Linked DNA regions of Caenorhabditis elegans. The protein of the gene in region 2 interacts with the protein of the main gene of each other region in a pairwise test. Each region holds a gene or a part of one and is shown on either strand. Other genes may lie near its edges. The genes, in order: mmad-1, cpr-5, dpff-1 and hprt-1.

The links.
Region 1: the proteins of cpr-5 (region 2) and mmad-1 interact in a two-hybrid assay, tested with the Caenorhabditis elegans proteins (one large-scale study listed by BioGRID).
Region 3: the proteins of cpr-5 (region 2) and dpff-1 interact in a two-hybrid assay, tested with the Caenorhabditis elegans proteins (one large-scale study listed by BioGRID).
Region 4: the proteins of cpr-5 (region 2) and hprt-1 interact in a two-hybrid assay, tested with the Caenorhabditis elegans proteins (one large-scale study listed by BioGRID).

The regions. Positions count from the first base shown.
Region 1 is NC_003281.10:13,544,414-13,551,741, reverse strand, and holds mmad-1 (Methylmalonic aciduria and homocystinuria type D homolog, mitochondrial), read left to right. Parts: upstream 1-2,736; 5' UTR 2,737-2,737; coding exon 2,738-2,803; intron 2,804-2,970; coding exon 2,971-3,019; intron 3,020-3,071; coding exon 3,072-3,145; intron 3,146-3,306; coding exon 3,307-3,526; intron 3,527-3,827; coding exon 3,828-4,258; intron 4,259-4,584; coding exon 4,585-4,596; 3' UTR 4,597-4,853; downstream 4,854-7,328. Other genes in the region: scav-2 (SCAVenger receptor (CD36 family) related), read left to right, coding at 96-294, 389-517; Y76A2B.4 (uncharacterized protein), read left to right, coding at 4,985-5,095, 5,313-5,436, 6,027-6,250.
Region 2 is NC_003283.11:1,130,650-1,137,282, reverse strand, and holds cpr-5 (Cathepsin B-like cysteine proteinase 5), read left to right. Parts: upstream 1-3,246; 5' UTR 3,247-3,328; coding exon 3,329-3,786; intron 3,787-3,972; coding exon 3,973-4,214; intron 4,215-4,262; coding exon 4,263-4,597; 3' UTR 4,598-4,685; downstream 4,686-6,633. Other genes in the region: cpr-8 (Peptidase C1A papain C-terminal domain-containing protein), read right to left, coding at 351-596, 650-891, 2,119-2,254, 2,309-2,548, 2,594-2,657; W07B8.4 (Peptidase C1A papain C-terminal domain-containing protein), read left to right, coding at 5,384-5,814, 6,480-6,633.
Region 3 is NC_003281.10:5,901,212-5,909,237, reverse strand, and holds dpff-1 (Zinc finger protein dpff-1), read left to right. Parts: upstream 1-3,115; 5' UTR 3,116-3,122; coding exon 3,123-3,205; intron 3,206-3,331; coding exon 3,332-3,585; intron 3,586-3,623; coding exon of another isoform or gene 3,624-3,635; coding exon 3,636-3,841; intron 3,842-3,890; coding exon 3,891-3,993; intron 3,994-4,785; coding exon 4,786-4,875; intron 4,876-4,922; coding exon 4,923-5,155; intron 5,156-5,206; coding exon 5,207-5,356; 3' UTR 5,357-5,675; downstream 5,676-8,026. Other genes in the region: putative helicase C28H8.3, read right to left, coding at 1-400, 447-477; ER lumen protein-retaining receptor erd-2.2, read right to left, coding at 1,048-1,254, 1,702-1,944, 1,989-2,180. UniProt on the Caenorhabditis elegans protein: Probable transcription factor, involved in meiosis and stress protection.
Region 4 is NC_003279.8:14,653,912-14,663,520, forward strand, and holds hprt-1 (Hypoxanthine phosphoribosyltransferase), read left to right. Parts: upstream 1-3,443; 5' UTR 3,444-3,484; coding exon 3,485-3,523; intron 3,524-4,987; coding exon 4,988-5,093; intron 5,094-6,837; coding exon 6,838-7,337; 3' UTR 7,338-7,584; downstream 7,585-9,609. Other genes in the region: riok-2 (Serine/threonine-protein kinase RIO2), read left to right, coding at 1-503, 3,067-3,159; Y105E8B.6 (BZIP domain-containing protein), read left to right, coding at 8,627-8,695, 8,778-8,924.

The DNA.
Region 1 (7,328 bases), on a different chromosome or scaffold from region 2:
TTTTACTTTTGTTGAGCACGGCAAATTTGCCGAATTTGCCGAGCTCTGCAAATTTTGAGATTTGCCGCACCCCACTGATACGCAAATTCTTTCAGAGTAAACTTGAAAAAGATGAAATCCGCGTTGATTCCTGTGCTGATACTTCACGAGACATCTGAAATCGACGATGATTCACTGGAACAGATACGATCACAACTCTACGAAACTGAGTCAATTGCCTATACATCGTGTGATGTTATGATGATCATTGGAGCAATTATGCTGCTTCTCGGATTCCTATTTCTCTCGTTTTCGGTACTTTTTTTTATAATTTCAAAATATATTTTAGGGTCTCGCAACGATATTGTTTTATATCGGAAATTTTAACAAAAAACACATTTTTTTGCAGCTCGGACTCTGTGACCCGATTCTCGGACGGCGGTCAAAACGGGCAAATGGATTGTCACCGGAACCTCTTCCTCCGTATGTTCCGAAGGGAGAACCCAACGGATACCACCATAATCATGCCTACATGTGATATAGCTAATTAGATCCTTGAATTTTTGAAAATTGCAGAAAAATCGATAATTTGAGTTGATTTTGAAAATTTTTGCAGTTTTAACAAATTAAAAAAGTAGAGAGTTATATATATTTTTTGATTTCCCTAAAAAATTCGATTTTAAAATTTTTCTTTAAAAAAATTTATACAAATAGATTAAAGAACTGGTTTATTTGGAAAAAACTTTTCGAATTTTGAAAAAAATCCAATTTTCAAACCTTCATCGGTTTTTTTCTCAAATTTTCAACTTTTCCCTCTAAAAATAATATTTTCAGTCTCTGTTAATTTTGTGAATATAGCTTTACTTGTTTTTCTTCCCATTTTCATCACTCACACCATTTCCCCCGAATCCCCGTTTTTCCCCACCAGCTCCTCACTTTGATTTGTTCAATTTATTATGCACACGGGTCCCCAAAATCCCCCTAAAATTATTCCGAGATATTCTTGTACCATTTGACATGTAAATATATATATATATATACTCCATTTTATTTTCCTACTGAAAATTTGAAAATTTCCAGATTTTTATAGAATTTCTATACATAGTTGTCTTGCACCATAAAATGAAGCGATCTTGTTTATAACTTTAAAAATTATTTTTTTAAATGTGGTCCAAAACCCCTTGTTTCAGATATTTTGCTAAATTTTATAACTCGATTTTTAATAATTAATTTCTGAAAAAAAAAGTCCGAGTGCCAGCTCCTCCCACTTCTTGGCTACCATTCAAATTTGGCTTTTTGAGACAATTTAGAGAAAATTTTATTTCCGATTACTAACTGGAAGGTTTCAAAAACTTCAAAAATATGCGATAAATAATTTTATTAAAGAAAAACCGTTCGAAAACTCAAAATTTTGAAAAAAAAGCTCGAAAATCGATATTTCTTTTTTGCAATTCTAAAAGTGTTTATTCTTTTTTAGAAAATTTTCAAAAAATATCGAGAACCTAAAATTGCATTCTTGGGTTCCAACATCACGAAAGTCCACTGAAAAAAACTCCGAAGTGGACTTTGAAAATCCGAAAACTTTCTATTCGCCTCTAGACAATTCTTTTTCACGTGCAACAACTGTGACCCTTCTTTCATCGTTACACTTGTTGTCTTTTCGCTCTCTTTTCTTGAATTGTTGCACTTCTCACGTTCACCCAACAGATTTTAAATCAAAACAAAAAAGTTGGCTTTGAACAAGACTTCGAAGACTTTCAGATTATTTCAGGCTTTTTAATGATAGTAAATTTGGATTTTTGGATTTTTTTTAACTTTTTGGCTTTAAATCTTTTCAAAGATTATTTTTAAATTTTATTTTCTTTTTGAATTTTTAAATTTCTCGAGTTTTCGAACTTTTGGAAGAATTCTAAGAATCGTTGTTCTTGTCTCGGTTTTTTATGTATTTAAACCTTTTTTATTTTGTGAAAAATTCGGAGAATGCGTATTAACTAACATATTTAACGCGCAAAATATCTTACGAGATAGTAATTCTCGAACACTATAGTAATTCTTTAAATTACTACTGTAGTGTCGATTTACGGGCTCAAATAGTGAAAAAAAAAATTATTTGCGAATAGTGGGAGTTACTTTGTTTTTTCGTATTATTATCTCTTTTTTTGCTTAGTTTTAATGTTCTATCGATAAATAAATGTTTTTTAAATCGAGGCCGTATATCGACACAATCGCTACAGTAGTCATTTGAAGAATTACTGTAGTTTTTGCAACGAGATGTTTTACTCGTTGAATATGTTGCACAGTACGCAATCTTAGAATTATGTGTTTAATACTCAAACACAATAAATTAACAATTTAGGTCAAAGAAAAAAAAGAAACACTTTAAGATTACTGTACTTCTTAAAAGTACACGCCTTTTTGATGATATAATCAATATGTCACAAGGTTGAAAAATAGAAACAAAAAATTAGGAATTTAGATAACAACTAATTTGATCAGTAATTACTAGTGTTCTCAGTAATAATAATAATAATAAAGTTCACATGATTCGTCGCGCTCGTTCTTCGGTTTCCCTTTTCTCGTTTTCTCGGCGGTCTCCCCAATTTCAGTGTTCTCTAACCGTCTGCGTAATTCTCCCTCTAGCTGTCACTCAATTTCCAACAAACATGTCTTTCAATATTTTCTTCGTTTTTTCTTGCCTTATTGATTTCTTTCGAATTAAAAGTAAAATTTTAAATTAAAATACAAGTTTTGTTGCAGGATGTTGTCCGCCAAAGGTCCCCAAATGCGTGCGTTTACCCAACGTGTTGCCGCATTTTCAACGCAGGTGAGAGTTTGGATAATGGCTGAAAAATTGCAGATTTTATCGAAAAATCTTTTGTTTCAGAAAAATTAATTTCTTTTTGATTTACCGAATAATTCAATTTTTCTTTTGAAAAAAAGTAAGCGTTTTAGCTGCTTATGTGCTGAAAATCATAAAATTCAAATTTTCAGCTCCAAATCGACCCAATTCCAATCGTGTTCGTCGGAAAGGGCACAACTCGTAAGAAATTCAAAATTTCGATCGACATTTTCACAATTTTTCCACATTTCAGCTCGCCAAAACTCGCTTCTCGGCCCAAATGACAGTCAGTACCCGTTCCAGGGAGACGTCTCGTTTGCTCACAAGGTAAATTTCTGAAAATTGATTTTCCAAACAGACACCCAAAATTATCTGATTTTTTACTCCAAAATCAAATTTCATGTAAAAAATTTGAATTTTCGAAAATTTACCCATTTAAAATAATTCCAATTTAATTTTAAATTTTTTCAAAAACTCAAAATTTGCAGCCATTGAGCATCCGCCAACAAGTGGAAAACTCAAAAATCGAGCGTGTGATGGACGATACGGAGCACAATTTGATCAATTTGCTCTCCAATACAAATATCGAAGTTGACCGTACACATTTGGCTCAATTGAAGGAAGAAGCAATGGAAGAGATTCAGGCAAATGCGGCTGACGTTGAGATTGAACTTTCCGCTATTGAAGCACCAAAGTTGCTCAAAAAAGGTGAGCTGGAAAGCTGGGATTTATAGAAATTCTGAAAATGAACTTTTAAAAAATTAGTCTTTCAAAAAATCGGAAATTGAGATTACGTTCGAGTTAATATTAGTGAAAAATTGAAAAAAAAAATGCTTTGCAGAACTATATTTAGCAGGGGTGTGCGGTAAATTTGGTAAATCGACTTTTTAAAAAATTTACCGTGGTCGTCATACTCGGCAAATCGCAATATTTGTGAAGCTCAAAAAGTGAATTTAAAATTTATTTTGAATTTAAAACTCATAAATTCAAAAATCATTTTTTTTTCCAGAAATGAAATACCTATTCCCACAAATGGAGACTCAAAAGATGAACAACGTGACCGTGTTCAATCTAACTCAAAAGTCAGAATTCGACATGAAAGCATGGAGTGAAGCAATGGAAGAGGAACGTGAAAAGCTCACCGCCTCATTCATCATGTCCGCCAACGCGATTTGCTCAACTCTCCATCGTTTCGGCTATTGGGCTGATTTCATTGATCCATCTTCCGGCCGCCCGTATATGGGTGATTACACCAATCATACACTTTTCGAGACCAATGACGCCTACAAACAAATGGGCTTCAAGATTGAAGACCTCGGATGCTGCAAAGTTCTGCAACACGCATGCTGGGGATCCAACGCATTTGTGGGAACTATTTTCACTGATGCTCCTGTTGATGGGGATGCCGTCAGGGATATTTTGAAGAAGGTTACTCAGGAGGTACAGGATGTTGGAATTTCTGAAACCGAATTTTTGAAAAAAAAAAACGTAAAATTATGTTTGAAAAAATTTATTTTGATGTTCTTCCTGCTATCTAATAATGATAATCATTTTTCAGATTTCCAAAAAAAGGACGAAAATTATGTTTTTATTTCTGGGATTCTACAAAATTTCAGAATTTCCTTACATTTTGTAATTTTTGTACGATTTTCGACTTCACAAAAAATAAAACAAAGTCTTAAAAAAGGTCGCTCTTTCAAAAACCAAAGAGATATTTTATTGAATAAATTTTCGACTTCCTTAAATAAAAAAGTTAATTTTTTTAGATTGACGAATAGAGATTCCATCGAGCAATTTTCCAGTAGAAGCCCCGCCCACAATATGCCATAAATATGAGTCGATTCTCCTTCCATTTTGCACCCGTTGTCCCTCGCTCCACGTATTTTCTAATTTTTTTTTGTCTGTAAAATTTTTAATTTAGACTAAAAATTTGCGGTTTTCAAATGAATGAAATTTGCAAGCAAGCACTGTCTCGAAATTGTAAATAATTTAATGGTTGTTTTTTAGAAAAAAATAAATGTTTGTTAGAATCCACAATTCACTTGTTGTCACCTTTTCAAGTTACTGATCTGACGGTATTTTTTAAAGTTTTCTTCTTTTTTGAACTTTTAAAGAAATTGGTTTAAGCTGGAAATTTGAATTTTCTAGCAAAAAAAAACATACCAGATGACGATCATCAGTGAGGAGGACGAGGCGGACGTCTACACGTCGCAGCGATCAGAACCCCCAGAGACACGGATTTTCGAGACGATGGGGTTTTACTGGAAACGGATTATGGTTTGTGCAGAATTTTTTTTTGCTTAAAATAATTTCGTGGCCGTGTTTTGAGAAAAACTCGGTCACAGGTTTTTTTCGTGATCGCTTCTAATTTTACAAAAAACTTTGAATACCCTACATAGTAAAAAAGTTTGTAGAAAAATAAGTGCTTTTCAAGAAAAAATACATTTTTAAAATGCAATTTTAAAAACACTTCCTAAAAAAACCACTTTTTCAGAAAACCCTACCTACATTCACCACCCAAATTGTGTTAATCTTCTGTGTTCTGCCCATCTCATTCTCCATCGCCATCTTCCTCGCCACCGCGATTCTCAATTTTGGAGTCGCTTTTATTGCACAAAGTGAGAATTTTGATTTACAGATTGGAAAATGGAAGAAAAACCTTGAACAAACGGTCATGTATTCAAATAAATAGAGAGCTCTCGTAAATCGACACGATACAAGCGCGCTCCAATGAGAATTTCTTTGGGCGCGCATTTGAAAAAGTAATAGGAACGCAAATGAAATTCGCGAATTTCAAGCTGAAAAAAATGGAAATTTGTTTTAAATTTTTTTACATGGATATTCGGCATCAGGGGCAAATTTGGAGTTCTTTAAAAAATATTTCCCAGATTTCGGTACTCCACCTTTTAGATAAATACATCGGCGATTTTTGAATGTCAAAAAATGCTTACTAGAAATTCAAAATTTAACTTTGGAAACTTTTCGACGGGATTCAAATTTTAAATATTCAAAAAAATTTAGTAGCAAACTCAAGTTAACAATTTGGTTGCCAGAAAGTTTTTGACATAAATTCAAAATTTAAATTATCAAAAAATTTGGCGAAAAATTATAATTTTGTTTGACAAAAATAATGTACACACTTCTGGAGGAGTACACCAGCCGCGTAAATCGACACCCCGTGAAGCTTATTCCATCGAAACATTTCCAGCCATCTCCACACTGCTGATTCTGCTCATTCTGATCCCAACACTTGCCGTCTGTATCACAAGTGCCATCGCCACCGCCTATATCCTTCAGCTCACTCAATCGATATACCTTAGATTATCCCAGTCACCTCACTCTTCCCCAAATACCTCATATCCCAGAATCCATTCACCTCCGCCAATTTATGCTCCGAAATTTGAAGTTGAAGAGAAATTGAAGACTTGTTAATACCTATATGTATTTATTGTTGTTTCAATAGAACTCCGAATAGGTTTTCCACGTTGTACGTTGTACTTTCCCCTTATAGCTACCGGTTTCAGATTATACATTCCTTTATTTATATACTCTTGTACCATAATTTAGTTATATTAATGATTTGTTGATAACTTGATAAAATGAAATAAAATTGAATACATTTTTTACGATCGTATTCGGTATGTAGAAGGCTGTTTATTGTCATCTAGTGTAAAAATCCTTTAAAAAAATATTCAAAATGAAATCTGAACTCTCCTGGCAGGTTTTAAAAAGGTTCAGCATTCACACGTGGTTTCAGGCCATTACGGAGTGATCTACAAAAAATGCGGGAATTTTTTGCCAAAAAAATGTGACGTCAGCACGTTTTTAACCATACGAAATCAGTTGAGAGTTCTGCGTCTCTTCTCCCGCATTTTTGTAGATCTACGTAATGAGACACTCTGACACCACGCACATTTACAATTAACCAAATCTCTTACAACTTCCACCACTTTGACCAAACTCTATTCCAGTCAAAGTCGCCCCATTGCAGCCGGGTATTGACGAACTTTAAACCCGACCATTTCAGTAAAAAGAAACATAATACACTTTTTGTCTTCTGTCTCTGTCCAATCGTAATTAGCAGTGCTAGTTGGCCCTGTATATCGTCCACCCAGTAGGCATTGATAAGGGAAATAGTGTATTGGAGGTATGGAGACGCAGAGACACGAGAGAGTTTTTGTTATCTTGTCAATGATTCCCGTGTCATTTACTGTCTCTAACACATCTCTTCTTCCCTCCTTCCATCTGTAGAGATTCTCAATCATTTTCTTTGTTCTTTATGTCCCTCAATTAGTAGTATTAGTACCATGTTATTTTCAGCACGTATCTATTTGTTAACTGTAGTCATCCTAGTTGTAGTGTACATCTGGGTTTTCCAGCTTGATCTCTTTTCAAAGAGAGACTTTCAAAACGGTACATGTCGTTCTGGTGTGCTTAAATTTCGAGGAAAACATTTTTAGTGTACTTTGGCACTACTTTCAAAGATGTACAAATTCTCGAAAAGCTGGTT
Region 2 (6,633 bases):
GACCTTGAAAGAAAATTCGAGTAAGGGAGCCATGCTAATTTAATTTTTATATTCAAAATTATGATTGGATTGTTGGTGAAGCTGCTGTGAAATAGCCAGGTCGACCTGTTGCGACCTATCGCCACCCCTACTTAGGATTCATATGCGCGCGAAATTCAAATTCAGCTACTTTCAGCCACTTTCGTCGATTTCAACGGCTAAATGCTGAATGTCAACGGATTTTTTCCGTTTTTCTTTTGCAATAACTGGAAGTTTGAGTACAAATACTACATTTTAAAACAATTTCCACATTGAAGATACTCCTTCTTTAAGATGGAAACGATTGCATACAGTTATCGAACAGTACTTACCATTCTCTCCCCACTGCCTTCCCCAAGAGTTTGCGCATAGCCAATAAGGAACACCTTGCCAAACTCCCCAGCCAATAATTCTAACTGACAAGTGACCCTGTTTGTTGCCAGTCAAATGCACATAAATTCCCGTCGTATATTGAAGAAAATCGTCGTAAACCTCAAAAGTTGCCTGGATCGGCCCATTTAGCATGACGTCACTTTGAATTTCTATTTGACTATTTGGAAGTTGATCCACAGAAACTCCTGCAATACACAATTTCTCAAAAGCTTTAACAAAAATATTATCTCGATGATACCATAATGCCGATCTTTATCAATATCAATTGGGTATCCGATTCGTGAAGTACACTTTTTCTCACAACTCGGAGTAGGTGATGTAGTATTTGTACACGCTGGGTAGGTCACATTGCCAACAGTTTTTCCGCATGGAGGTATAGAGTAAGGTTTACATCCAAACTGCGATTCATAGGATCCTCCGGTAGGAATACCGTGTTTCTGAATATACTGCCAAGCTTTGAATGGGTTCCCGCCTTCACACCTGAAACAGTGGGATCTTTTTGCATTATTATGCTGAACAGTAGGCATTCTCCTGATCTGATAATTTTTTAAACATATAAAATGGGGATTTTATCTAAATACATTTATAATGATCCAAAACGACCAAATATCATAATAAAACACTCCAAAAAAATTTCTGATTGTTAATATTAGGTCACCAAATAAGTTCCGGATCAAAAATCATAACTTTGTTCGCTGAGTAGCGATTTTTATGAAACTTTGATAATTTGAGTTATTGACCATGATCTTTCATTTGAAAACAGTCACAAAATTTTTTGACCACCCCAGTCCTAACTCGGAGCCAATTTTTTCAGGCATTTTTCTGATCTCGCTTCTTTTCAGCTTTGAATTGAGGTTTGTGTGCGGATTTTGCTTTGTTTAGAATACATTATTAGAAAACTACGTTTGGAAAAAAAATCCGTCCAAAAAAATTTTTTTTGGTTGGTCGTCAAAAAATCTTCAAAAAAATTTTTGTCGAAAATTCTAGATCTTTTTCGGATAATTTTTGAGTTGTTTGAATATTTCTTGAGATTCAAATTTCAAACTCAAATAATTTTTATGTGTAAAAATAGTTTACAGATGGTTTGGTGACCTAATAATTTCCGGCCAAAGTTTTGGCAAATTCCCACAATTTTGAAAAATATGAGTTTTTAAGGAAATCCAAAGCATTGTCGCATATTTCGACCCCTACAATGTTATAATATAAATAATTAAAACAAAATTAAAGTATAAAAAATGTAGGAAAAACATTTTTTTTTTGGTCGACTTCCAAAATTATGAGTGGCAAAAACTGAGTAATTGTCACTTTCTGACAGTAAATAAAAAAAGTTCAAAAATTTTTCGAAACGTTTTATTATGATATTCGGTCATTTTGGCACCATATAAATAGTTTTTAACATTTTCCCCACTGGCGCTACTCCACCTTTAATAAAAAGCACGTCTGCGTTTAATCAAACAATTTTGCAGTTGTTGCACTTTTTTCTCAAATTTGCATCACGCGCCGCAAGAAAATTGATTAAATATACATTTCTCAATGTTGAAAAATTTACGAGCTTTAAAAATTTTGAAAGTTGATAAGATAGAGACTTTTCTTCGCAAACTTTTGTTGGTAGGCAGACACGCCTCCAGGTTTGCCTGCCTGCCTGCCATCCGCTTCTAAATTTTGACAGGATCACTGGACCTGTAGAGACGTGCAACTACACCTCACCCTTCCCCACAGGAAAACATTCCCGTGCAACAACTCAAAAGTTCTTCAGCGGATAAAATGGTATTTTTAAATCCTCCGGAATTAATGCAAAGCCTGTCAGACATTGATTCGGCTGCTGCGAACGCCCAACTTGTCTCTGAAAAATTTAGGCCATTACCGTTCATATTCTGGAATTTAAAGCAAAACTCACTACATTCTGAAATATCGTTGATCTGTGGAATTGACATGCACTCCGGCCAACGTTCTCTCGCATCAAATGAAGGAGATAGATCGGAATTTGCTTGTGACACCCCGAAATTCTGGATTTTGAATCCTATAGTTGCAGCGTCTGTGACAAGAGTTTTCAGCATAGAATTCCGGCTCAGAGCAGGAATCCCAGCAGTCCAAGTAGTTTTTTGCGAATTCACATAATGAATTATCCGGTCAATTTCTGAAAATATTGCTTTCAATCTAGAAATACAATTTGTAAAAAAACCTGAAGGTGGTACTCCATCGGCTTGAAATAGGACTCCGATCAGGCAAATCAATATTTTCCGCATTTCGGGTTAGAAATGATTGATTCAATGCTTTCTTATCATTGATTTGAAGTTGCAAAGTTCAGAAAATTTACATCATATTATCCAAAAAGAAATGCAAGCGGAGCTTATTCGGTGAACAATGATTAACAAAATTGCTTCAAAGTAAATTTTATGCAGCTCTACTAAAATTCATGGATTTTCATAAAATCTGCTTTAATAATTCTGGACTAGGCTTATGCCTACTTTTAAGCTTATTCTTAGGCTTAGGCTTGTGCTTCGGCTTAGGTTTATGCTTAGGCTTAGGCTTAGGCATAGGCTTAGGCGTAGGCTTAGGCTTAGAGTTAGGCTTAGGCGTACGCTTTGGTTTACGCTTATGCTTATGCTTATGCTTTTGCTTATGCTTATGCTTATGCTTATGCTTAGGCTCAGGCTTAGGCTTAGGCATTAAGCTTAGGTATTAGGCTCATCCCTAATTCCTAATCCCCTTAGAATTTTTACAGTATTAAAAAATGTTTACATCAATGATCTATTCCGACAAGTGAAAGTATATTTGGCGCGCGACTCATTTACGTCACATTCCTTTTAATTTTTAATTCTTAAAAAAGATACTGATAAAATTAACTGATAAGAATGATGCGTACCGACTACTTAATGAGCATTAGACGCGAACCTTCGCAGACACTTCTCTCATAATGTGGAAGCTCTCCGCTATTCTTCTCGTGGCTGCTGCCTCGGCTGTGGTGATTCCTGGACACCGTGAAGCCCCAGCTCTCACTGGACAAGCTTTGATCGACTATGTCAACTCTGCCCAAAAGCTTTGGACCGCTGGACATCAAGTCATTCCAAAGGAGAAGATCACCAAGAAGCTGATGGATGTTAAGTATTTGGTGCCACACAAGGATGAGGATATTGTCGCTACTGAGGTCTCCGACGCTATTCCAGACCACTTCGATGCTCGTGATCAATGGCCAAACTGCATGTCCATCAATAACATTAGAGATCAATCTGACTGCGGTTCCTGCTGGGCGTTCGCCGCTGCTGAAGCTATCTCCGACAGAACATGCATTGCCTCCAATGGAGCCGTTAACACTTTGCTCTCATCTGAAGATCTGCTCTCGTGCTGCACCGGAATGTTCAGCTGCGGAAATGGGTAAGGCTCCGATTCTGATTTGAAAACTACGCGTCTACACAAAAACGATAAGAATCGACAAATTCCGTTTATGACAAAATGATCTCTAGCGCCGTAGTTTTAATCTCCAAAATCGAAAGTTCTTGCTGATAAGAACACAGTGATCGGCATGGACTCACAGTTGCTTTCAAAACCATTTTTTTCCAGTTGCGAAGGAGGTTACCCAATCCAGGCATGGAAGTGGTGGGTCAAGCACGGTCTCGTCACCGGAGGATCCTACGAGACCCAGTTCGGATGCAAGCCATACTCGATCGCTCCATGCGGCGAGACTGTGAACGGCGTCAAGTGGCCAGCATGCCCAGAAGACACCGAGCCAACTCCAAAGTGTGTCGACTCCTGCACTTCCAAGAACAACTACGCCACCCCATATCTTCAGGATAAGCACTTTGGTGAGTTTACACGTGTAAGCGGCGCTGGTTAACACTATGAAGTTCTAGGATCTACCGCCTACGCCGTCGGAAAGAAGGTCGAGCAAATCCAGACCGAGATTCTTACGAACGGACCAATCGAGGTTGCCTTCACCGTCTACGAGGACTTCTACCAATACACCACTGGAGTGTACGTACACACCGCCGGAGCCTCCCTCGGAGGACACGCCGTCAAGATCCTCGGATGGGGAGTCGACAACGGAACCCCATACTGGCTTGTCGCCAACTCGTGGAACGTCGCCTGGGGAGAGAAGGGATACTTCCGTATCATTCGTGGACTCAACGAGTGTGGAATCGAGCACTCGGCTGTTGCCGGAATTCCAGACTTGGCTCGTCACAACTAAGGCTGCTATCGGAACTTTTTTAAAATAATTCTTCAGGGAGATTTCCATGTGTATATTATGAAATGATGATAAATATTTTATAATTTGCTATGATATTATTTAAAGTATAACCTCGTTTTTCAGTATCTCTGTAATTGGCTGAAAAAAATTGGCCGGTCGAACTTTTACGAGAAGGGTGGGAGACGGAGCGGATTTGCTCAAAACCGGCCTGACGGCAGCAGACAAACCGCGGACTAGGGAACCCGTGCAGGCTGCCATGTTGCGGACACCTTGCGGCTACCTCCGCCTGCCACGCGCCGCGCCTTTTGTATAATATGGCTCTGAACCCAAAAAGTGAGCGTTGCGTAGACCCCAAATCTTTGATTTCATGCCTGTAGAATTGAAGCGAGGAGGCCCGCTTTCGGTGATCAGGTGTCAGGCAGGCCATCAGACTTTGAACCCGCGCCTGCCTCTTATCGAAACTACAGACGGCTAACTGGCGAACAAAAAGAACAGCCCGGAATGGTCATTGGGCCGATTTTCAGTTAGCCTGTGCTCTTTATTCGAGAAATTATTTGTGAAATTCGCTCTGATTCACTTCCAAACATTTATAGTTATAGGCGGTTTAAATCAAATCTATGAAATTAAATTGTTCAAAAAATCAATTTGACCTAAAACATATAACAGGATACTAATAAACTCTGACTCAGTGTAGAATGGACGGAACAAACAATTTCCCTCAACTCAACTGATAACAAAACTTCATTTAAGACCTCACCACAACTTATTTTCATTATTTTTCGAAAGATGCTGAAACTACTTCCGTCTCTGCTATTTATACTTGCTGCTTCTGCTGTAGTACTTCCGAGAAATAAACTATTTATCAATCATATAAACTCTGCTCAAAAACTGTGGACCGCTGAGCACTATACTACTCCATTCGAGGTGAAAAACCTGATGAAAGTTGAGCATGTGGCTGCACATTTGGACAAAGATATCAAGTTGGCTGAAACCGCAGACTCGATTCCAGACAGCTATGATGTACGTGATCACTGGCCTCAATGCATTTCAGTGAACAACATTCGAGATCAATCTCATTGTGGATCTTGTTGGGCCGTCGCTGCAGCTGAGGCTATTTCTGACAGAACATGTATCGCGTCTAACGGAGATGTGAATACTTTGCTTTCTGCTGAGGACATACTCACGTGTTGCACGGGAAAATTTAACTGCGGCGATGGGTGAGTAAGTTGATAAGGTAGCGAAAAATTTAGTATTGATGTGAATGATTGTGAAATAGTCTGACGTAGGGCTCCCAGCTGAGGCGCGAAATGCGGGCCTCACACAGGCCACTTACCGGCCGGCCTCACACCGACGTTGTTTGTGTGCAATGAAATGCGATAGGTGATTATTTGGAAGCGGCCGACACGTTCGGGTTCCGCAGCTTGGCGTGAAATAAGTAGCTTGGTGTGTGCGCAAAGTGGTGTGACAAGTAATAATTTGGAAACGGCCGACACGTTCGGGGTTTCGCAGCTTGACGTGAAACGGGTAGCTTGGTGTGTGCGCAACATAGCGCGAAAAGGTAGTTATTTGGAAGCGGCCGACACGTTCGGGGTTTCGCACTGCAGAATACAATCGGATACATGGGGCGTGGTTGACGCCGTTAAGCCGGCGTCGGCGACTTCATGGGAGCCCTAGTCTGCCCGAAAAAAAAAAATTTTTTTGTGCCTTTGAATTTTATGCTCTACTCATGTTTCAGATAATAATATTCAAAAAATTTTGCAAAATTTTTTGATCAGGTTTCTACTAGAATTTTTTAGTCATTTTGGCACCCTAGGAGTGATTTTTAATAATTTCCCCTACTGGCGCTTCTAAGACTTCTAAGACATCACTCTACAAATTTCAGATGTGAGGGTGGTTATCCAATCCAAGCATGGCGATATTGGGTCAAGAACGGACTAGTCACCGGAGGATCCTTTGAGTCGCAATATGGATGCAAGCCATATTCAATTGCTCCATGCGGCGAAACTATCGACGGAGTTACATGGCCTGAGTGCCCT
Region 3 (8,026 bases), on a different chromosome or scaffold from region 2:
TTGTTGAGAACCATAGATTGACCGGCTACATCCCAGTTGTGATAACTGTGAGCAGCACATTCAACAATCAACGAGTCAATTGAGATTAAGAAAATTTCAACGTCAGCGAATTCGCTGATAATATTTTTGTAACTGCATGGAAATTGGGCGAGATTCTTCTTCATCATCGAGAGTTGTTCCAGAGAGAAATTGAGAACTTCCGTCGTTTCTCCGAGACTTTCCAAGTCATCCGACATCACGGAACTGGCATCTGAATCGTCATCAGAAGCGTTTTTCTCCGAACCAGCAACACTGTTCTCCAGAATTTGCACTTTTTCAAGGCTCTTAGCTATTGATGGTTGACGGGCTCGTGGAAGAATCACTGGCTTCTCTTCGACCACCACGTTCTCATTTTCGCTGTCTGTAAGATTTTTAAAAGTTGAAGCTTGGAAGGTAAGAAAACAAACCGCTATCATCCCAAGCAGCATTTGCAGACATCGTTCTCGAATTTATATCGAATTGATGAACCCTTTCCAAAGAATAGTAAGCTGACTTATTCCTGAAATCAATATTTTAAAATCAATCATCAACTAGAGGAAAGAAAAGGAAGTTTAGCTCGTTTCTTTCAAGTCTAAGACATAATTTTAAGATGAGCAATTGGATTAGGGATTAAGGTCTCGCACGGAAGAGACAAATCGTTGCAAACTATTTTCGTATCACGAACCGATCAATAACTTTTTTTAAAACAATATGCAGCACGGTAAGCGAACCGAACGAAGAAAACTCATCAACTCCATCAAAAAAAATCCAGAAAAATTCATTATTTATACATTAAATCTCTATTTTAAAAAGCTGAATAAATGGATATCTTTGGAAATCCCCCATAAAAATCATCACACAGAGAAATAAATTAACGGAGTTTGGCGGGCACACATTCTTATTATTTCCCAACAATCAAAAAGAAGAAAAGTAAAAGTGACCAGACTTAGTGTGAATTATAACGCCAACTCCGTAAAGATTAATATAACCTCGTAGGAAAAAACGTCAAAAAGGATGGGAATCGTTCGTTTAGATTGGGAGCTCCATACCCTTACGGGTTTGGACGACACGGGTGACGTAAAGATAGAAGAAATCGGCGTAGAGAACAGTTTGTACAATTCCGGCAACAACGACAATTGGATCGAAATAGTCCTCGGTGTAGTAGCGGTAAATCCAGTTGAAAATGTAGAGAGCGCGGTAGGAGCCAAGAGCGAACAAGTAGTGAGCAGTGATGACCTGGAAGAAGAAACGATGAATATGGGAGAGAGATAGAAGGCTCAATTTGTGGCCTGGTGTCTGCGTCTCTACACCAAAATGTCTAATCCAAAAGAAATTAAGAAAAAAAGATGTCGAGTGTTTGCAAACAACACAGTAAAACTTATGAAAAGAATGGATTAACTTTCAGTCAAATTTCATCAGGTTGTTATATTAGCAAAGTTAAAAGGCTGACGAATCAATTTGGACTACAGCGGAGATGTGCGCGAAATTCGGAATACGGGGAAAACGGTTGGAATCGGGAGAAACGACAATTTCTAAGCACAACAATTTTCTTGTACTATCTCCAATTTTGCCATCTCTGGATTTTACACTTTTTTACGGCATGTCGAATTGAGAGGGAAAATTTTGCACGCTGAAGTCAAATTTGGCGCATTTATTGTATTATTTATTATTTTCCAGATTTACCTCAGCGGAACCGGTAGACTGGAGAAGGAAGAGTTGTGGAAGAATGGCCACAGCCTCCAAATAGATCGAAAAAGTCCAGAGCAACTCAAATGGAGCGAAATCGTGATTGATGAGAAGAGCGAGGATCGCAGCTGGGACGATGAGAAGCTCGACACGGAAGGTATCCGACTCGCGCATGTAAGTTGAGCGGAATTTGAAGAACATCAGATACACTGTGGCGTACGTAGCGGCGAGGAAGGTGATCTGAAATTTGATTGTATTTATAATTGTTACGGACAGAAAGTTACCTTCATTGTAGTGTTATACAAAGAAATGTATGTGGAGAAAAGATCCAAGTATCGAGCAGTGAACACGAGAGCGAACAGAATCTGCGACCGCGCAGAGATTCCGGAGCACGATCTGCTCTTCCAGATTTTGAGCAGAAGGATGATAATCGCAAGCAAGTGCGACATATCTGCCGATATACGGAAGATGTTCATGATGACCCTAAAAATTATCATACTTTGAGAATTTAGATACATACATCAGGTAAAGAAAAGAAAACGCAAATATGAAATGAATTGGAAAACACCTATTCATTCCAGTGAATGGGTATGTTTTCAATTATCGAGGTCAACGTTGTTTATCAAAAGATAACGGATAGAGTGATAGGGAACAGAGAAAATTATATTATATGGACGGTAAAGTTCCGGAGAACGAACAGAAATGGTTTAGAGTTTTCCTTTCGCAGACAAAAAAGAGTGCAATAAAAGCCAGCACTGAATGTGCCACGTGGGAATTTTGAAAAATGCAAATACAACGCAACGAAGCTAAAAAGGTTTACTGAAAAAAACTAAAAAATGGAACTTAAAACATAAAGACAAAATTTTTAAACATTGAATGCAAAAACTACGTGTATTTACAGTTAAAAAACACATAACCCTGCATTCAACAAAAAAACAAACATTTCGATTCGCTAGGTAAAATGCATGGAAATATTCTATGAAAACTAGAATGTTTGAATAGAGCATTTTGTTCGAACGTTCTGAATACCGAATGTTTTTTTTTTGTTTTCGAAAGACCTAGATTTTCTAAAATTGTAGGCCTACATGAACTTTTCAACCATTTTTTGGTATTCACATAATGCGTAGCTACATATTAATCAATTATCGCAAAAAATTTAAACTGTTTAATTGAAAAACGAAACGTTTTAGGCCGGAAACGAAGAAGAAAACTCGAGCCAAAAGGTCCATCAGCCAACGAGTCCACGCTGGACAATACGCAATTTCGCGTGTTGGTGTTTGCGTACATCGGCAGCTGTCCAATTTATCGATCAGTGTTCATTCATTCTCTTGTTTTTTTTGTTTGTTCACACCGGGCGCCCGATTTCTTGAGCTATCAAAATGTTTAAAAATAATCCAAGACAGCTAATCTTACAGACAATGATCTCGGAAAACGGATATATGGACCTGATGCGGAACTGCATTAAATGGAATTCCCGGCAAATGGAGGATCGTAAAAAACGGTTAGTTATTGATGTTTCGGCTACTTAAAAAAGATCCATTTGAAATCTGAATAATCTAAGTAATGATAAATCTTTAGAGCATTTAGGAATTATTTTTTGGTTGTACTAAGCCCCTAAAAGTTGCAGACTGCGGTTCCCATACTATGAACATCAAACGGCTACGGCCCAGCGAGAGTCTCGCTTCACAACCCGCAACGTGGATCACATGTATCCATCAAATGATCCAAATACTGTTGTTCAATTCGCAACCGAGAGATGGAAGAAGAGCAAGTCACAGCCACCATCTGATGCTGTTGAGATGAGCATGTTTTTGCGTGAGAATCCGTCTATTCAGGTTGCAATTGATCATCTCACTCCACAAGTTGTCGGACCAACAACTGGTGAGAAGCATCAGAACGATTCAACCTAATTTTTGTAGTTCGATTTGCAGAAAGTGTTTCTGATAGTTCGAACGACTCAACTACCATCAGACCATCCCGCCAAACACAGATCAAAGAGGAATATCGTGATGACTACGTTCTTGACGATGAGCTCTCTCCAGACGAGTTTGGCTCCGATGAAGATGATTGGTCGTCGCGTAAACGCCGTAAAGGCAACTTGGGGCCTGTTCAGAAAGCAACTTCGTCACGTAAAAAGGTTTCTTTATTTATTCAATTGTTTAAATAATTTTATTCTGACTGTTTAGGTACCAACAACTCGTTCCTCTGTCTCTCGATTGACCCCATCTCGTTCCATAGTGAAGGAAACAAAATATGAAGAACCGGAGGAGAAGACGTATCCATGTGACAGTGAGTGGTTGTACGGCGGATTAGCGAAGCCCTCTCGCCCAGGAGAACACACCATTCTTCTTGTCCTTTTTAGTCTTATTTGCCTCCCCCATCGCCCACAGCATGTCAGTTACCGGGAACACTATCATCATGATTTTTAGTTTAATTTTTCGTATCTTGATTCATTCGGTTTCGAGATTTTTCAAAAAATTAGGATGCTTGGAAATTGCACGAGATTATTTATGTTTTTGCATGCTTTAGTTTTTTTTTTAATTATGCATGTTTCTCCAGAGATCCAAGGAAAATTAAATCAAAAAAATGGGAAATTTGGTCTAAAAAATAAATTTTGGAAGATTATGTATGATCTTTTTTTAATATTAGTTTCATAATTAGTGGTGTGATTTGTAGTACTTCTTCACATAATTGTGGATCTTATCAAATGTATTAGCTTCCTTCCTCTCGTTATCAATTTGCACTAAGTCATAAGCCAATATGTATCCTGAATATCCCATTCTTATATCCCTCCTAGTATTTTATCCCTCTGTAAAAGAAACCTGGGCGAGAGGGACCTCAGTAAAAAATCCTGCGGCAACCGCTCAACTGATCAAAAATACATCTCTCCCACCCGGGACACGGGGTCTATCGAGAGGAAGTTTGTAGAAATATAGGCACTAAATTTAGCATGTACTGAGTGTTCCTGGAAGCTTATATGATGTGGCATAATGGGAAATCTGTGATTTGAAAATACTCTTTTCAAACCGCATATTTCCCAAGTCCTTTCGTTTGTAATTTAAAATTTTTGATAATTTTCAGAATGCAGCGCGAAATACAAAAGCCTCGCGGGTTTAAGCTATCATCAGTCGTATCTTCATGATCAAAAGTCTAGTCAACCACTGGTTAAGTGTAAGTTTTTTGCATTCCAAGCTATTTTCAAATGTATTATTTTTCAGTATTGTCTCCCAGTATAGAAATATCTACTAGCTGTGATTTCTGCAGCGGCACTGCTTTTATGAACAAAAATACAAAATTGCCAGAGGATCTCGTTAGTTGTCATGATTGTGGTCGTTCTGGTCATCCTTCCTGTCTTAATTTTAATCAAAATGTGACCAAAATCATAAAAAGAAGCGGATGGCAGTGTCTTGAGTGCAAGAGTTGCACCATTTGTGGTACAAGTGAAAATGATGTAAGATATTTTCTATTATATTTATAAAGTGCAATATTAATTGGATTTCAGGATAAATTGCTCTTCTGTGACGACTGTGATCGTGGATACCATCTTTATTGTCTGACTCCGGCGCTCGAAAAAGCTCCAGATGATGAGTATTCATGTCGGTTATGTCAAGTTGAATTCGGAGACAAAGCGAGTGCACCGGCCAAGAAGTAATGGTTCTCAAATATTATATTTATTCCAATATTTTTTGCATAATCTCGACCCGTTTGCTTACGATCCTCCCACACCGTCATCCGATTATTTATTCTTCATTTTCACTTGAACTTTAAGTATTATTATTACTACGTAATGGCTCATACATAGAGAAAAATTCTTGTTCTAAAAAGCCAGCCTAAAACCTCACTCACCCCTCCTTCTGCTACTTTGATTTCTCGCTCTTTTCTTTTTTGTACTTCCACATTTTCCTCGTCCTTTTTATTTATTTCAGTCTTATCATAAAAAAGTTCAATAAATACTATGATTCAAAATAAAACACATGTGAAGAAACTCGAACAATATTGGAAGTTTCAAAGAATCAAACGGAACATTGAAAATTCTAATTCAAATTACTATTTTCCAGTTTAATTGACAATTTTTTTTATTAACATCTTGGAGTACGATACAAGGTCTTACAACGATCGAATATATCCAAATGAAAAGAGATAGGCACCTTTAAGAAGTACAGTAACCTTCACGGCCCACTGTTTTGCAGTTTTCTTTCATTTAAGCTAGTTAAAAATATATATAATTGTTTAATTTTAGATAAATATTGTCACATCCAATAGGTTTTTAGAGTAAAAATTACAACAAATAAAATTGCAAAACCATGGGGCGTGGAGATTATATTTGGTCTTGTCGAGACCTGGTACTGTATTTTTAAGTGAAAATTGCAAACTTTCGTATCTGGGTAATATATCTAGTTTTAAAAAATCTAAAATTATCGTTTTAGAATGTTTAATTTACTTTGGTTGTTTCATAAAAAGAGAATTAACTGTTTGTATTCATTTTATTATCATTTTATCATCTTATCTGACCTACTACCATATAAATACCATAACATTATTTTATAACTTTCTCTATTCTTCTCTCTTCCAATATCTTTCACCCATTTATTTTACTTATTCATCGCCCAATTTTATGTCCCTTCTACTCTCCATTCTTTTTTGTCTTTTACTTGAAACAACACATATCGATTACACAATTGTGTTCTTTCTTAGAAATAAAAAAAAACATTTTTGTTTGTTTTTGCATCTCTATTTTCTCTTGCAGTTCTCCTCCTATCCCTCCAAATTTGGAGCTGATTCAATTTGCCGCCGGGGATCTCGGATAACTCTTTGAAGCCAAGAAGCTCAGACACACTTCCACTTCCGTCTCGTGTACTTTTGAAAGAGACTACTTTTAAACTATACTCGTGTACATTTTTGCAACAAAAAATAATGATCAGCATTTTTTTTTAATTTTATAAGTTTTGAAATAATAAATAATTCAAATCCAAATCACTCAAAAATAAACATTGGCTTCTTCACCTCCTCCTCACTTTTTCCAAAAAGTGATCGTTTTTGGAAAACCGCCGTTTTCCGTTCGAGTGCCTATTTCTTCCCTTTTTTTCGTTTTGTTCTTCTAAAAATTTCTCACCTTTTCAAGTGTTGACTTTTCTTTGTTTTGTTGTATTTTGAATGTTCAAAAACTTCGGTTTTTGTTATGTGGCCTCGAAAGGAGAAAACTCGGTCATTGTCTTGAAATAAAAACCGCACAGTTTCCCAAGATCCAACACTATTAAAAATTGCGAAAATTTCGTTAAAATCATTATTTGGCAAAAGCTTTACCGCTTATTTTATTGCAAAGTATTGCAAAGATATTGCAAAGTGACCGAGAAAAAAAACAGATGGCCTAGTTTTCCAAATAATTTTGAAACCCGTGAAGTTTAATCTGAAATATTCTGCCATAATTAATTTTTGTGATAATTCACCATTATACTTTTTCGAGGCAGTGGCCGAGTTTTATTTTTTAAGCGGCCATGAACTTAAAAACAAATTTAAAAATCCTTGACTTTACAACAAAAAACTTCATGAATAAATATATAATATATATTTTTACATACCCTTTCCGCTGACAACAAAAATTCCTCTGGGTGAACATAACAAGTTATGATTCGGTTGAGGGCTATCCAAATATGAACAAGTAACCGGACAGACGAACAAATTTGAATGGACAAGAGAATGTGGGAGAGATGGGAGAAGAGGAAAAAAGAACATCAATTTTTATGCGTTTTTGCCCACGTTTCGTGTGATGCTCACTGTCTGACAAACCGGCAGATCTCTGACCGCCAAAAATATTGGTGGCCGAGTTCATTGTACTTCTGATTTTCCTTCATTTTTTTTTGGCCGAAGTTTTTATTTTTCACGACCACGCAACTGAACGCATGTAAATTTAAATTTCCAAATTTTCATTGTAAAATCCCGTTTTCTTCCACACCGTAACAACTTTCTACAATCATCCAACATCATTATTCTTTTCCTCGTTGTTCCATCCATTTGTGTTTAAAAATGTTTATTCTTCTGTCAATTAGTGAGAACAAAAACATAACACTTTCTTTTCTCGCACCCTTTTGCTGCCCTTTTCGCTTATTTGGTTTTGAAAAATGTTTTTGTAAGACTGGAACTTGAGGTTTAGTCTGAGGTTGAACTAGGCTTATAATCTTACTTGTTTAGGTTTAGGCTTAACATAAAAATATTTAGACCTTAATTTGAAACTCTACAATGGAAGTGGATACATTCAGAGGTTAGAGGACAAGTTATTTAGGCTCTGTTGCTTAGTTTATTCGAGAATTGAAAGCCCAACAAG
Region 4 (9,609 bases), on a different chromosome or scaffold from region 2:
ATCGGCAGGAGGAGGATTTGGGGGAAGATGAAGATGATTCCGATGACTCTAAATCTATGGAAGACATTCAGGAAGAGCCTGAGGATCTCGAAAAAGACCACGAAGAGCTCCAGGCTCAGGAGAACACCGTCAAACAGCAGAAAATCGTGCTCTCCCAGACGACACGCTTCACAGATTGGCTCTCAGACGCCACAAATCAACTGGAAGCCGTGGATCTTGATGCTCTGAAATCGGAGGAAGGTTATAAGGATATTGAGTTGCCGCCGGAGGATTTTAAGCGTCCAGCCGATTCTGAAAATGACGATGAAAATGATGAAGATGAGGAGGAGGGGGAGGAAGAGGACGCGGATGGCCACGTGGCAGTTGAGGAGCAGGTGGCAAAAGTTGTGAAAAAGAAGAGAGTGCCAAGTGGAGCCAGAAGTGTTGCCAGTAGTGCTGCCACGTTTACGGCTGAAGATGTTAAGAGGCGACTGGCTTTGGATAGAAAGAGGAATAAGGAAAAGGTCTCATTTTTGTACCGAAAATCGAGAAAAAAAATGGCACCAGTTTTTGTCTGAAATTTTTGAGGCCCCACGAAAAGGGGAGCAGACCAAAAAAGGGATCTGCAAAAAGGGGATCTGTGAAAAGGGGAGATACGAAAAGGGGAGCTGGCACTGTCACTGCAACTTTTTCCTCACGAGGGACGAGGAAAAGTGGTTTCTAGGCCATGGCCGAGGGGCCGACAAGTTTCAGCGGCCTTCTATCTTGCTTTGTTTTTCGCCTGTTTTCTTTTGTTTTTCAAAGCTTTTTCCCGTTTTTTCTTATTAAAACTGATGAATAAATACTTTTTGCAGATGCTAAAACAATTTCCAAGTAAAAAAATTATGTATTCAGTGGGCAAGCAGCGGTGAAAGTGGGCAATGCAATATGATGGATTACGGGAATACAAAACCTAAACTTTTTCTGAAACATGATACATATGCTGCTTAAATGCTGAGACTACCTGATTTTCATAACGAGACCGCTGAAAAAGTTTTGAGGTTTTCAAAATTCAACTTTTTTGGTGAAAAAGTCGAGATTTTCGCACAAAAAGTTGAATTTTGAAAACCTCAAAACTTTTTTAGCGGTCTCGTTATGAAAGTCAGGTAATTTCAGCATCTAAGCATCATATGTATCATTTTTCAGAAAAAGTTTAGGTTTTGTATTCCCGTAATCCATCATATTACAATGCCCACTTTCACCGCTGCTTGCCCACTGAATACATAATTTTTTTACTTGGAAATTGTTTTAACATCTGCAAAAAGTATTTATTTATCAGCTTAAATAAGAAAAAACGGGAAAAAGCTTTGAAAAACAAAAGAAAACAGGCGGAAAACAAAGCAAGATAAATGGCCGCTGAAACTTGTCGGCCCCTCGGCCATGGCCTAGAAACCACTTTTCCTCGTCCCTCGTGAGGAAAAAGTTGCAGTGACTGTGCCAAACGCACAAAACGCTTTTTTTATTCTCATTCAACGCACGACTTTGTTATAACCACACTCCGTTATTACGCATCGCGCGCGTTGTTTAGCGTAAAATACAAAAAAAAGTCGTGCGTTGAATGAGAATAAAAAAGCGTTTTGTGCGTTTGGCACAGTGCCAGCTCCCCTTTTCGCAGATCCCCTTTTCGTGGGGCCTCAAATTTTTTTTCTCGAAATTTTTGTACCTGAAACATTGCAACAAAAAAATGTTCAGCCACGTAGAATCGTGGAAATTTTATCCATTTTATGGGCGGAGCCTGTTTTTGTCTGAAAATATATATTTTTATTTTTTGTGTTAAACTTTGCAAAAATTTTCAATTATCAAATTTTTTTTGAATTTTTTGAAAATTTCGATTAAAAATTTCATTAAAAACTTTAAAAAAAAACAAAAAACTTTTTTTCTCAAAAAAACTCAAAAAATAATAAACGGTATAAACGGTATAAATCTGGTCATTTTTGTACCAAAAGTGCCATTTTATAAGCGAAGACTGTTTTTGTTGTGAAAATTTTTTTCGAAATTTCAGAATGGGCGGAGTTGTTCAAACTTTTGCTCAAATGTGCAATTTTGAATTTTTGCACATTTGAGCATCCATTTTGTGGACGTGGCCAGTTTTTGTCCGAAATTCACTTTTTTTTTTGAATTTTGTGTTTCATTGTCATTCTAAAAAAATGTTGCTTTAAAAAAAATTTAGTTTTGCTGATTTTGAAATATTGTTCATAGAAAAAAATTTAATTTAAAATTTTTAGAAAACCGACCATTTTGTGGGCGGAGCCAGTTTTCGTCTAAAATTCCTTTTTTTTTAAAGCGAATTCTGAAAAAATTCTGAAAAATAATCACTTACGCGGCATCATAGTAATTATTTTATATTTTTTTGAAAATTGCACGTTTGAGCATCCATTTTGTGGTGGGCATGGCTAGGTTTTGTCCTAAATTCGCTTTTTTTTTTGAATTTTGTGTTTCATTGTCATTCTAAAAAAATGTTGCTTTAAAAAGAATTTAGTTTGCTGATTTTGAAATATTGTTCATAGAAACGTACTTAAAATTTGGAATAAGTCATCATATATTTAATTTCAAATTTTTAGAAAACCGACAATTTTATGGGCGGAGTCAGTTTTTGTCTGACAATATTTTTTCTCGAAATTTCTGTATCTGAAACATTGCAAAAAATTATATAGGAATTCTTTCGGTATCGTCCATTTTGTGGGCGTGGCCAGTTTTTGTCTGAAATTCGTTTTTTTAAAATTTTCTGTGTGAAACTTTGCAAAAATTTTCAATTATCTTTTTTTTTTGGAATTTCTTGAAATTTTCGACTGATCATTACATTAAAAATTAGTTTTTTTTACTGTGAAATCCTTAAATTTTTTGGAAAATACGTTTTTTTACAAAAAAAAAAATTCACAAAAATCTCAAAAATTAATAAAAAAGTATTTAATTTCTACTTTACTGTAATTTATTAATATTTTCCTTCCAAACTCGTAAAACTCTTTTAAAAAAATTCTGAAATCCTTCCAACCTTCAGTATAAATCAATATACCACAAAAATTTCTAAAATTTATCCAAAAATTCCAGATTCGACTGAAGGTCAAAGGAAAGCAAAGCGCAGTGGGCCGTAACCGAAAAGACAATAAAGATGTGATTGCCGAGTACGCTGGATGGATTTGATGATTTAATAATTGTTCTCGTTTTTCCCGGAAAATTCGTTTTTTCTATTCTTTTTCACCTGTTATTATTACCATTGTTATATGTTTTTTGTTCTGTTAACTTCTCCCCTTCAATATAAACGAAATGATGCGTTTTTTTTCGATTAAAATGCAACATTTATCGTTGACACGTTCGTAACTTTCATCGTCGCGCCGTCTATTTCAACTGATAAGATAATCTGATCAATCTTCTTTTTTTTTTTGATTGATAAGATAATATTGTCTCTTTTAAATAACCATTCACACACTTTTCTTTTTTTCAGAAAAATAGTTCTTCATTTTCGAAAATGGCTCCAACTCGTGCTGTCATTCCTGATGATTTTGAGGTTTGTGTGATTCAGATTTTTGAATTTTGAATTAAAATTTTCACGATTTCGAGAAAAATATCCACATTTAGCAGCTAGAAACAAAAAAATTCAAGAAAAGTGCTTAAATTTTCATTAAATTTGAATTTAAACAGTTTTTTTAGTTTTTGGTGAGGCTCCTAGGCTACAAACTACAACGATGTTTTAGCCTCGCCAAAGTTGGTTGAGGCTAGGAAACATTGTAGTTTGTGGTCTGACGCCTCAACCAACTTTTCCAGAAATTTTTTCAAACAATTTTGATTCAGGATTTTTAAAAAATTTCGAATGAAAATTGCCAAATGTGCATGAAATTTCCAAGCTTTAGTAGCTGAAAACAAAAAAAAAATCAAAAAATTTTAATTTAAACAGGTTTTTTTTTAGTTTTTGGTGAGGCTCCTAGGCTACAAACTACGACGAGTTTTAGCCTCACCAAAGTTGGTTGAGGCTAGGAAACATTGTAGTTTGTAGTGTGACACCGCAACAAACGGTGGTTCCATCAATTTTTGTGATTCAGATTTTTGAATTTCGAATGAAAATTGCCACGATTTCGAGAGCAATTTTCACATTTAGCAGCTGGAAACGAAAAAAAATCCAAGAAACAGGCTTAAAATTCTATAAAATTTGAATTTAAACAGTTTTTTAGTTTTTTGTGAGGTTCTCAGACTACAAACTACAATGATGTTCAGCCTCACCAAAGTTGGTTGAGGCTGGGAAACATTGTAGTTTGTGATCTGACGCCTCAACCAACTTTTCACTTTTCCAGCAATTTTTTGATTCAGATTTTTGAATTTTAACTGAAATAAAAAAACTGCAGGAAGTTTATAATTTAGCAGCTGGAGACAAAAAAAAAATTCAAGAAAAATGCTTAAATATCCATAAATTTTGAATTTTCGCTAATTTAAGTTTTTTTGGTGAGGCTCTCAGGCTACAAACTACAAGAGTTTTCAGCTTCATCAAAGTTAGTTGAGGCTAGAAAAAGTTGTAGTTTGTAGTGTGAACCAAAAATTGACCGAAAACGTGATTTTCAGTTAATTTTTGACATTTTTTTTAACAAAAAATTCTCGATTTCTATCCATTTCAGCTAAAAACTCACAATTTTGCAACCGTTTCTCCTCATATCAGCAGAAATTCATTAAAAATTACGTTTTTTTTTCCAAAATTTTGCCCAGAAAAACTAGTTTTCAACAATTAAAAAGAACAATATTATCCATATTTTTGTTCTAAAATAGTTAAAATCTGCAATCTTCAGTCAAAAATTTTCAACTTTTTCAAGTATTTTGTGAAATTTCGAACATTTTCAACATGGTTGAGGCTAGAAAGATTTGTAGTTTGTAGTCTAATTGATTTTTGGGCTAAAAATGTGCAATTTCATTTATTTTTAAACGTCGTTTCTTGCAAAATTATGGCGAAATTGTAAAATTTTAAATTAATATTTAATTTTTGCAGCTCCCAGTCGACGCATTCGACATTCCAATCTGCTATGACGGTGATTTATCCGGTGTCGTGATTCCGGAAGGTCTTGTTAGAGATCGTGTTCGTCGTCTGGCTAAAGGTAAAAACAGTTAAAATTTAAAAATTTCTCTCTAATAGCCCTACAACGGACTTCTAGCTCCCTCAAATTTGAAAATGGAAGAGATGGAAACCTCTTCCACGGCCATGTGTCGATTTACGTGACAATTGTAAAATCGTCTTCTCCTCCTCGAAGAGTACACGAGGGCTGCGTAAATCGACACACAGGGCCGTGGAAGAGGATTCCAGCTCTTCCATTTTCAAGTATAAGGGAGCTTGGATTGAAGGATTTCAAAAAATACAGAAAAATTTCAAATTTTCCTCTAAAAAAGTGTCAACGGAATTTTTTCGATTTTCCGAAATTTCGAATTATTTTTCGATTTTTCTAAAATTACCTTGAAATTTTGTGTTCTAATTGTTCTTTTTAGAAGACATTTTTAATTTTTCTCATGTTTTTTAACAATATAAACAAAATTAGATTAGAAAATCGAATTTTATGATTAATTTTTTTTTTCGATTTTTCGATTTTTGTTCAGATTTTTCGGAAACTAAAAAAATTTTCCTATTTTAGAAGTTTTTTTTACGGAAAATCCGAAAATGGACAATTTTTCGTTGATACATTTTTTTTTGAAGAAATTGAAGAAATGCGATGACGGAAAAGTTTCGAATAAAAACAATTATTTTCAGAAACAAGACTTTCTGCTTCAATATTATTTCTTTAATTTCTTTAAAAATTTTTCTTCTAAAAACTGCCAAAATTTTTTTTTTTTTTTTGAAAAAACTTCTAAAAATTTTCGATTTTTATATTTGCTGGAAAATTGATCAGAAAATTCTATTTTTTTTTTTTCTAATTTTGTTTATATTGAAGAAAAAAAACCTAGTCATCAAACTTTTAAGCTAATTTTAGAAAAATCTGAAAAAATTAGAAATACCGGAAAATTTTCGTTTTTCGATTTACACTGTAACTTTTTCCTCACGAGGGACGAGGAAAAGTGGTTTCTAGGCCATGGCCGAGGGGCCGATAAGTTTCAGCGGCCATTTATCTTGCTTTGTTTTCCGCCTGTTTTCTTTCGTTTTTCATCGATTTTTTTCGTTTTTTCTTATTAAAACTGATAAATAAATACTTTTTGCAGATGCTAAAACAAATTCCAAGTAAAAAAATTATGTATTCAGTGGGCAAGCAGCGGTGAAAGTGGTCAATGTAAAATGATGGATTACGGAAATACAAAACCTAAACTTTTTCTGAAACATGATACATATGATGCTTAAATGCTGAGACTACCTGATTTTCATAACGAGACCGCTGAAAAAGTTTTGAGGTTTCCAAAATTCAACTTTTTTGGTGAAAAGGTCGAGATTTTCGCACAAAAAGTTGAATTTTGAAAATCTCAATACTTTTTCAGACGTCTCATTATGGAAATCAGGTAGTCTCAGCATTTAAGCAGCATATGTATCATGTTTGGGGAAAAGTTTAGGTTTTGTATTCCCGTAATCCATCATATTACAATGCCCACTTTCACCGCTGCTTGCCCACTGAATACATGATTTTTTTTACTTGGAAATTGTTTTAGCATCTGCAAAAAATATTTATTTATCAGTTTTAATAAGAAAAAACGGGAAAAAGCTGTGAAAAACAAAAGAAAACAGGCGGAAAACAAAGCAAGATAAATGGCCGCTGAAACTTGTCGGCCCCTCGGCCATGGCCTAGAAACCACTTTTCCTCGTCCCTCGTGAGGAAAAAGTTGCAGTGATTTAGTAAAAAATCAGAAATCATATAATTTTCTCAGACATCCACGCTGAAATCGGAAACAAACCAATCGCGCTGCTCTGCGTACTCAAAGGATCCTATAAATTCTTCACTGCCCTCGTCGAAGAGCTCACAAATGCTCGCTCATCGTGTCCTGAACCAATGACTGTCGATTTTATTCGAGTAAAGAGTTACGAGGATCAAATGAGTACTGGACAAATTCAAATAATGGGACTATCGAATTTGGATGAGCTCAAGGGGAAAAGTGTGCTCGTTGTGGATGATATTTCGGATACCGGAAGAACTCTTGCAAAACTTCTCTCAACTTTACATGAGACGGGCGTTGAGAAGACCTGGACCGCCCTTCTCCTGTCGAAACGTGTCAAACGTGTCGTGGATGTTCCAGAGGATTTCGTGGCTTTTGAGATTCCTGACAAATTTATTGTTGGCTACGGATTGGATTATAATCAGAAATTCCGAGATCTCGGACATATTTGTGTCATGAGCCCTGCTGGAATTGAGAAATATAAATCGGAATAATTTGGATTTTTACAATTTTTTTGAAAAAAAAAATTGAAATTTTTGAATGTCTAATTGTTTTTTTTTTGCTCTGCTATTCCTAATTACACTGTGATCTGCTTTAAATTCGTTATTAATTTTTTTAAAACAAATATACATTATTTTAAAAATATACATGTATTGCTTCAAAATTGTAGTTTTTTTTTCTAATTTTCGGTGTATTATGACCGTCAAGGTTTTGTCCTACAAAATATTTGAAATGACCAAATTTTTTCACAATTTTTTAATCGAAAAAAAAATGCAAAAACCACGAGAAACCGTAGATTTTTTAAAATTCCATAGAGAGAAAAATTGCAAGAAAAATTGCTTTTAATTAATTTTTTTTGGGAAAAATCAAAATTTTTCCGATTAAAAAAAATCGATGGTCGAGAAATTTCATTTGCTTTTTTTTTTTTTTGAAATTTTTTTAAAAAATCTTTTTTCAAAATACCGCGTTTTGCCAGTATAGCTTTAAAAAATTTTTTTACACATTCTGATAATTTTAATTTTTTTTCAGTTTTTTAATCGAAAAAATTCAAAATCCACGAGAAATTAGAATTTAGAAAAAAAATTTCGAGGAAAATAAAAATATAGCTTGAAATTAATTTTTTTAAACGAAAAATCTAAATTGTTTGATTTTAAAAAAAACGATGGCCGAACTTTCTCGATATTCGAAAAAAAACATGTGGCCGAGTTTTTCACTTCTCGGCCACCTAGCAAAACTATTTCATGAACACGAAATTGTGAGAATGCGTATTGCACAACATATTTGACGCGCAAAATATCTCGTAGCGAAAACTACAGTAATTCTTTAAATGCGCAAAATATCTCGTAGCGAAAACTACAGTAATTCTTTAAATGCGCAAAATATCTCGTAGCGAAAACTACAGTAATTCTTTAAATGACTACTGTGTCGATTTACGGGCTTAAATGGATTCAATTAATTTATTTATCGATAAAGTATTGAAATTCAGCTAAAAATGACCAAATAATGCGAAGAACCGAATGAGCCCGTAAATCGACACAAACGCTCTACAGTAGTCATTTAAAGGGTTACTGTAGTTTTCGCTACGAGATATTTTGCGCGTCAAATATGTTGTGCTATACGTATTCTCAGAGTTTTGTGTTCCCGCAATAAATAGAATATATCTGTATTAAAAAATTTTGGAAAAAAATTAATTTTTCATCCAAAAAATTTTAAGAAATAGGTCATATTTTGTGAAATCTAAGAGAAAATCAATACAAAATGTTTTTTTCAGAACCAAAAAAAAATGGAAAAGAGAAACGAGGAGCACTCGCGCAAAAAGTTCATCGAAGAGCAGCTAAATGCTCTGAAACATGTAAGTTTTCGTGGCCGCCGTTAAAATTTCGGCCACCAATTCAAAAAAATTAAATTTTAAAAAAATTTGGTTTTTTTTTCAGGAAGAACGAGTTCTGAACGAGACACGTACCAAATTGCAACAGCAAAAGTGGCACCTCCTGCAGGAAAATGATAAGATCAAGGAGAAAATTCGTGTGCGTGACGCTGCCGCCGGAGCCGGAACTGGAACTGGAGCACCGCCAGAATAATCGATTTTTAAAAAAAAATTTTTAATTTTTAATTTTTAATTTTAATTCAATTCGATCTCTCTCACCACCTATTCATAAAAAAATCAAATTTTTTCACCCCCTTTTTTCCATTATTTGATATCAATTCGCGTCGCTTTGTGCAATAACGCAACGTATTGTTACTTTCTCCGTGGAGCATGTTTGCATTGCGACTACCTTGGCGACGGCTCTGTGTATGTTCTGTACTTTTTTTTTGATTTTTTGAACTGAATTTTAGGAGTTTGAAGTGTTTTGTAATCGAAAAAATTAAAAATAAAAAAAAGGTTTTAAAAAAATTTAATTTAATATATTCAGCGTTTCAGCGGTTGTTGTGATTGATTTTCTGATATAATCGAAAAAAAAAGAAAAAAACATTGAGGTTTGATTTATTTATTTCTGTTTTATTTTCGCCTTGCTCAATATTCCGGTTTCCGGCATTTTATGACGGAAAAGCTCCTCCCCCGCCGAGCGGCTTGTCGGAAATACCGGAGAAACGGCCTTGTTGTTTCGCACAGAAATGTCTCCGTCTCTCTCTCTCGGTCTTCCCGAATATATTCGGACTGTTTCTGTTCCCTATCCGATTCGAGAATCTCTCTCTCTCTCCCCCTGCCGGCGATGGATTTTTGTTCGATGTATTTATATATGATGTTTCTGCGCTTGTTTTTGG